Tribolium castaneum: one gene and its partner. The protein of the gene in region 1 interacts with the protein of each later gene in a biochemical or structural test. Links are inferred from orthologs where the notes say so. Each region holds a gene or a part of one and is shown on either strand. Other genes may lie near its edges. The genes, in order: Abcd3 and Pex19.

Region 1 (4,479 bases):
AATAATGTATGTGTGAGTAATTTAGCAATTTTTCAAAAACATGATTAAATTTTGTTGATTTATTTGTACTGTTCAGTTTGTCTTGAAACTTGAAAAAAAACACGGAGCTACCGTTTATCCAAAAATATTAAGAGCGGATTATACATACTTGAACCACCTCCTTCTTTTTGTGAACTTCCCCCTTTGGAAGCGGTACATATTCCTCAGCTTCTAGATCAAACTCAGTCGCATATCCATCAGATCTGCCTTGACGCTTAACAGCCCCACTATTGGCTTCAATATAAATAACGTCACCTACTTCGACTTTTTCCTTCTGAAGGGCTTCATAAATACTGGGGTCGAGTTTCAGTTGTTTGCTACCTTTTGCAGTTTTCAGGCCAATAATTACATGACTTACTGTCTTTCCATACCCTACAAAACCAAAAGAAATATATAGAACATTGTCAAAGTGTCTAAAAACTAAAACCTCCAGCAGGATTCTCCGTTTCAACAGGAGTCAATTCAGTAACTTCCCCCTCATAAACCTCCTTAGTCTCCCTAATGCGCAGCCCTATGGCCCTCCGGAAATTCTCCATCAACACCTCCGTCTTCTTAATCTCAGAACTGTAAACCTCGGACCCCACCATGGGGCAAAAGGGCACCTTATTACCCAGTTCTTGCGCGATGGCCAAAGCTATCGCAGTTTTACCGGTCCCAGGGGGACCCGCTAGAAGCACAGCCCGTCCGGCCATTTTCTTACTCCTAATCATATCCACCACAATCCCTGCGGCCTGAAACCACTGAATTTAGCCGAACTCTGATTAAAAAAGACAAACCTAACCTCCCTAGCCTGTTCTTGGCCGACCAAGCCGGCCGCTGTTGGCAACGCGAAACCATTCTCATCTAACCCTAAACCTTTAATGTGGCTGTGGGCACTTATTCGTTGCGTTTTCACCGTACTTTTCACTTCTTCAATCTTCATTTTTGGAAAACACGCTAACCAAACTTTGCTTGATCAATTTGAGTTTTATTGTTGTGATGTTGGTATGGCAACAACCGGTTGGAGAATTTTGGAGCGTTGGGGTGGTCATAGTGACCATTTCAAATTCATTTTTGATTAAAAAATCGTTTTTAATATTCTGTTCGAACTCAGCAGTCACAAAGTGATTTTTGAAATGTTTCATTATAATACTATGACCTAGTCAAATTTTAAAGAAATTGCGAATTTAATTTTACATTGATCGAGTCACCTGAGACACCTGAGAAATGGCATGTCAGCTCAACATGACAGAACGGCCATTTGTCAATTATCACAAAATGGAAAACTTTCTAATTTTCCTTTAATGAATCCTTTCGATTTTAACGATCGGTTAATGCATTCCACAGGTGAGTATTTGGCGTGTTTGTTGTCTCTTTCTCAAATTGCGGCTGTCCCTGTCTTGCAGGTTCGGCCAAAATCATGTGATCGGTCGAAGCTCCAATGACAGTCGCTGACTGGAGCTCAGTAAAATCAGTAAAATACTTGGTAAAGTCTGCTTAAACGTTAGGTGTCAGTGTTTGTGGATGAGTGAGTGGAAACAAATACAATTGATCGGAAAACTGCTTGGTCACGATCACTCAATACTTCTTGTGAAAAGTGCGAAAAGATGAAGTAAAATGGCACCCAGTTTTAGCAAATATGTGACAAGAAACAATGCTCTTGCAGCCGCTGGAGCATCGACAGCTTTATTATGGATTTTAATATCACGACGAAGAAAAAATTTGTACAAACTGGACAGGTATGAAAATTGACCCCACTTCGAGACTTGTTTGACTCCGGTTTTGTTCTAGGAGAAAAGTCAGGAAAACCGTGGATGAAGAAGTGAAATATTTTATATCTGAGAAGAAAGAAAATAGGATTAAGGCGCAAGTTGATAGGCAATTTCTTAAGCAACTTAATCACCTACTTAGAATAATTATCCCAGGATGGACTTCACCTGAGGCGGGATTTCTATTCCTTGTAGCTGCGAGTTTAGTGGCTAGATCTGTGTGTGATTTATGGATGATAGATAATGGAACGAAAATAGAAAGGTAAATCGAACAATGAGTTGTTGGTTACTTCAGTTAAGGAAGCTTAGAGGTTATGTAATTGCATTCCGAATCTGAACTTTATGTGATTAAGTAAAGGCGTCAAATATTTATGCCGTCTTAGCCAACGGTTTTGGTAGAAATATTTTTGCTTTTTTACCGTGTTATCATCGTGACTGGATATTTGTATAAAGTCACCGATTTAATTAAAATTCATTAACCTTGAGGGGTTCATTATCTGTCTGAATCTAAAGAGGAAAAATACCACCAATATTTTACCGTTGTGATATTGCTGTTGACACAGCTTTCACCCTACAGTTGGTATTTTTTTAATAACACGTGTTTCATAAATTGCTTCGCATTGCCATTATGTAATATTTTGTTTCCTTGTATTGGATATCTGTATACAGACCTGGATTATTCATTGCGATTTTTTATGGTAAACATACGTAGAGAGTTGCTAAGCTCTGAATGACGTAAATGTATGCATTGTGCATCGTTTTTAATGAGAATTGTGCTCATTTGCTGATGGAAATTTTATTATTTTAATGAACTATGTACTTACCTTTCTCTCAAAACAATCAAGATTAGAGATTTTGTTTAATTACGTTACGGCAAACGTGTCTTATTGACAATTTCTAAGTTTTGAAAAAAAGTACAGACGGATTTAATATTAGCGAATAAATTAGAAATTATCATTGTGTTGATAGCAACAACATAAAAAAGTTGTGATAGCGTATTGTTTACAATGAATTAACAGTTTTGGGGAGTAAAAATTATTACATCGAAATAAATTATATTTTGTCCTAATCGTTACAGAACTAAAACATTAAAATACGTGTCATGTAATTGTAAACTGAGTTTGTTGTTTTTTTTATAAATCATTTACATGAAAATTGTTACTTAATGAATGAGAACTTTACAAATGTGCGTTTAAAAATGACTTCAGATAATTACTAATTAGATAGGTATATTATTTAGGAGGTTGTAGTTAAATTCTGCTCAAAAAAGTACGAATGAAATGTTAAATTTTTAATTTAATGAGTGCAGAAAACCATACGAGTTTTACAAGGACACATTGTCTAACAAGTTGATTACATTTTTTTATAATGGAACAAAATTAATGAATCTCATGGACTTTGAACCATGAAGAAAAGAATTACTATTATTATTTTCGATTTTAAAAGACAGGTATTGTAAGAGTACTAAAGTACGTGTATCTATTAGGTATTTTATTTCGACACTTTTAACATTTAACATGAGACTTAATGAAAATTAAATACATAGTACTTTATTAGTTGTAAATTTTCGTAAATTTCGGTGTGTAAGTATTTGTAAAATTTTGCAAAATAGATTACTTTTCTGTTCCAAAATAGTTCTCACATTTAGTAAGATGCACGAGATATACGCCTATTATTTACTCGTTTCTTACAGTACAGTTTCTAAACTACATATTTTTGTTAGCTACCTGCTTTAGTACGAAATGCGGTTGACGAAGAAAAACAACTATATGGTGCTTCTTAAATTTATTAAAAAATTGTTATGCAAATACACACAAAAACTGTATGCAATATCAATTATTACTACCACAACAAACGAATTTCTTGTTTAAAAATTGACACCAGCCCACCTGCAACTGATTCTCAGCCTACGAATGTGGCATTTATCATGGATAACCCTTTTCGGGGGCGATTAATGATTATGGATGATTGTTTAAATTACTGCTTGTTTAATACATATTCAGAACATTTTCCATTTTATAGTAATACTACCAGGTGAGCAATCTTATCGACCACCTAAGAAAGTCGAGATTTCTAGTTAAATAAAAAAAATATTGTATTTTACACGCCTGATTGTAAGGTATCGCCCCTAATTTTTTGGTAATTTTTCACTTACAGATAAAGATAGTAATTAAAAAAAAAGTAATTTTTGACCAAAAAGTTAAATTCTGAATTTTATACTAAACCACGCGTATTTTATAAGGTTGCCTCACCCAGTATGTAAATTGCAATAAAAAAAATTTGATATTGAGTTCTATTGGAATGTGAACGTTTAAATAAAAATAACTAACTAAAAATTGTTATCTTGGCTAGAGAAGAGATCCGGAACAACTTTATAAAGTTTTAAACAGATTGATCTGGATTAATAAGTCCCTTTTTGAAATCGTCACAAAAATCATCGTTATCGATATGAAATCCCGTCTATTAAGTTTCACGATATCGATGAATTTCGTCTGTACACAACATTTGTTTGGGTCACTGTGTCGACCACAATGACGATATCACTTTGCAATTAGCAACATGGAAACCAAAGCACTTATTAATACGATTTATTATAAATAAGTACTCCTTCCTCTAGTATTTATGGTGGGTAGTACGTTTTTTTGAATTTTTCATTTTAGAGTATTAGAAAAATACAAGTTGGTATTAAGAT
Region 2 (3,369 bases), on another chromosome or scaffold:
AAATCTCGTCCATTTTTTGGATTTTTCGTACAGAACCATCAATTTTGACAGTGGCTTGAGAAATTGTTTGCAATGCCGGTGTGATTTGTCCACAGATTGGGGGTTCGTTGTACGACGACGAGGGGGCGAAGATCGTCAATAATTTGCTCGCGAAAGCGAAGCAAAACAACGTGCAAATTCACTTACCTTGCGATTTCGTCACGGCGGACAAATTCGACGAGAAGGCGCAAGTGGGGGCTGCCACTCTCGAGGCGGGGATCCCCGACGGCTGGATGGGGCTGGACATCGGGCCGAAGTCGATCGAAGCGTTCAAAGCCCCCATTCAGAGGGCCAAAGTGATAGTGTGGAACGGGTAAGTTGGTACGACTGACTTTAGCAACCGTGGCCAACTATGGGTTCTAGGCCAGCCGGTGTTTTCGAGTTTGAAAATTTTGCAAAAGGGACCAAAGCCATAATGGATGAAGTCGTGGCGGCGACTCAAAGGGGCTGTGTCACGATTATTGGTAATTAAATCACTTTTGTGGGCGGTTTTTGTCAAATTTGGTGTTCTAGGTGGCGGTGACACGGCCACTTGTGCCGCAAAATGGAAGACTGAGGATAAGGTTTCGCACGTTTCGACGGGCGGGGGCGCCAGTTTGGAGCTACTGGAGGGCAAGGTCCTACCAGGGGTGGCCGCCCTCTCCGACGCTTGATTTTCCCGAACTTTGTTGTAAATTATTGTAATAAACTAGTGATTTTGAGTTTGTGTGGTTGGTATTGGGTGAACAAAATGGCGGTTTTTTCCCAAACAATTTATTTAAATAATAAATAACAAACAACAGTGTTTTCACCAATTACATTACATTGCACTGATTGGGGTCGGCGTTGTTTTGCATTTCGAGGGGCAAAGGGGGCCCCACGTCGCCCACTAGATCGGTCGGGGGTTGTCCGTAATCTTGCAACTAATTCGAGAAAAATCATTCTTGGAACAACATTAAACAAAAAACGCACCTTTTGCATCAAACTCAAGACCTTGTCAAACCTCTCCTTCTTTTGCTCACTACTATCACTCTCTTTCTCCTTCTCTAACTCGGCACAGATCTCCTCCATCAATTTCTGTTGTTTTTCGTATCTTTCTGCGTCTTCTTGACTCAACTTGTCCTTATTTTTGCTCAACCACTCCGGGAACTTGTCTAAAATGTCCTTGAGACTCGGATAGAGCACGTCCTTGGACAGCAAACTCTGCATCATCCCTTGCATGAAAGGCATAAAGGCGTTTTGGTCCCCCTGTCCCGCAAACAAGTTCATAATATCCTGCTCCAAATTGGGGTTCTGGAGCCCCTCAGCCCCCTGACTCAGCCCCTGGAGCGTCTGTGATATCGTGGCTGCGAAATCACCCGAGTCTCCGCTCGGATTTTCGATGACTTGTTGCGCCGTCTCTGCCATTTGCTGGAACTTGGCCTGGATTTGCTCGGGGGTTAACTGGGACCCGTCAGGGTTTGAGCCAAGCAAATTGGCAAAGTTTGACTCGAATTGAGCTGCGGCTTGTCGGATAAAATCGTCCGACCACTCAACGTCCGGGATTTCGTCCTGTGGGGGCGCAGGTTTGCTGTCTTTGGGCGGCTCGCTTTTGAAGTCTTCCAAAGCACCTTGAAATGAGGGAGTTACGCAACGAATTTTACACCACGGGACTCACTGTCCAAGAGCTCGGACAACTCGGCGTCCACTTTTGAGGCCGAATCGGGCTTTTTTGACTCGCTCATTGTAAAATTGGTATAAAACGGGAAGCTTTAAGAATTTGTTACAAAAGTGAGGTTAGGGAAATGTCAGGTGATTTGGGGATTTTTAGGCCACCTGTCGCTATTCCCTTCAACTATCAATTACAGGTTTCTACAAAAGGGTGTACCACCACGTTTTTCGTTATAATTTGTTGTTGTGTGGTTGGTACCTTGCCGTTTTTGACAGAAAAATATGGGCAATTTGAAAATAAAAATTTATTTTTTCGCTTCACACTCTTTAAGACGCATTTGTTATTGTTATAAGAGTAATACAGGTAATGTTTGTAGAATAAAAGGATTTACGTTAAATTATGTAACGTCCGAAAAGATTAATTCCGTTAGTATAAATAGCAAATATATCATAATTATATTTAATTTATTATTTATTATTTATTATTATTTATTATCATTTATTATATTTATTATTTACATTTTAAATTATTATTTAAATATATATTTTATAAATAATAAAAGAGTGGGTTGAGATCCAACAGCAAAAAGCAGACAAAATGAAACTAAATATGGACCCTCATGAGCCCACCCCTAGTTCCGCCACTGGCTCAGATGAAACCTTATTCATTTTTGTGCTCAATATAAAAACAGGGCGAAATCTTTGAAAAAATATTAATTTTTAAATATACTTTAAAAACAGGGCAAAAAATCAAAGTATTCTGAAAAGGCTTTCTTACTACTTTTCGTATCTAAGTGTTTAAAATCAATGTCATCACTCTAAAATAAAGTAAAGTCCATCCAACGTTCCACAAAAAATGATTTGGTTACGTTTTAAGTACTTTCTCTAGGATTTTTCGCGTGTAATAGGCCGACAATTGTATAATAAATATCAAACTCCAACCAACAAATATTCCAAAAATGCCGCCAAAATTGCCTGGAATTGCTAATTAGAAGAAAATTTCACACTATAATAAATTATCAATTACTCAAAACTTCGAACCAGTAATAGACAACGTCTTGAAGGTACAACTTTGAAAACCTGCCCGAATAATACACAAAAATTCGAGTAACGTTGTTGTCCGTTTTACTGAAACTTAGAAATAAAAAAAAAGTTTTTTTTTAAATAATTTTGCCAAACTTCAAAATTGGGAAAGAATTGGCATGGGCCTCGTACACCGTTTCAGCACATGACGAGTAACATTTATTATCGCAACGTAGCGAATCTTGGCGCTCTTTTTGCAAATACGGGCCTGGCTCAAGGTCGTCCGGAAAGAGCGAAGTCCACTTCTCTATAAAACCATTCATAAAAAAGTATACAGGGTGTCTCAGCTAAGACTTTCGAGCCTGATATCTCAGATATTTGTCAACGGATTTTTATGAAATTTAGAATGCACATATTTTAGGGGCAAAAAAATGACCTCAACTAAAAAATTAAATTTTAAAACACATTTCTTTTTTGCATCCGTACCCACGTTTAACAGTTTGCTTCTCATTTTTCTCGCAAAACAGACGTCTTCCACGAACGAGTTTTTTCTTTCAGCATTTTTCACTAACGATAATTTTTTTAATATAAGTCTTAAAAGGCTTAGCATTTTAAAAAGGCATGTAAAAATTACGTTTTTAAGACTTGAGTTTTTGCATTAATTGGATTTTAATCTTT

The links.
Region 2: the proteins of Abcd3 (region 1) and Pex19 form a complex in vitro, tested with the Homo sapiens proteins (4 studies listed by BioGRID and IntAct, with this or other methods). The link is inferred for Tribolium castaneum from reciprocal best matches to the Homo sapiens genes ABCD3 and PEX19.

The regions. Positions count from the first base shown.
Region 1 is NC_087395.1:13,833,508-13,837,986, forward strand, and holds the start of Abcd3 (ATP-binding cassette sub-family D member 3), read left to right. Parts: upstream 1-1,457; 5' UTR 1,458-1,635; coding exon 1,636-1,757; intron 1,758-1,809; coding exon 1,810-2,049; intron 2,050-4,479. Other genes in the region: pont (ruvB-like helicase 1), read right to left, coding at 149-411, 467-770, 821-961. UniProt on the Homo sapiens protein: Broad substrate specificity ATP-dependent transporter of the ATP-binding cassette (ABC) family that catalyzes the transport of long-chain fatty acids (LCFA)-CoA, dicarboxylic acids-CoA, long-branched-chain fatty acids-CoA and bile acids from the cytosol to the peroxisome lumen for beta-oxydation.
Region 2 is NC_087401.1:15,465,619-15,468,987, reverse strand, and holds Pex19 (peroxisomal biogenesis factor 19), read right to left. Parts: upstream 1,846-3,369; 5' UTR 1,743-1,845; coding exon 1,676-1,742; intron 1,629-1,675; coding exon 991-1,628; intron 942-990; coding exon 834-941; 3' UTR 775-833; downstream 1-774. Other genes in the region: uncharacterized protein LOC103315247, read right to left, coding at 1-13; Pgk (phosphoglycerate kinase), read left to right, coding at 96-352, 403-503, 553-692; pickpocket protein 19, read right to left, coding at 2,459-2,486, 2,538-2,643, 2,696-2,796, 2,848-2,998. UniProt on the Homo sapiens protein: Necessary for early peroxisomal biogenesis. Acts both as a cytosolic chaperone and as an import receptor for peroxisomal membrane proteins (PMPs).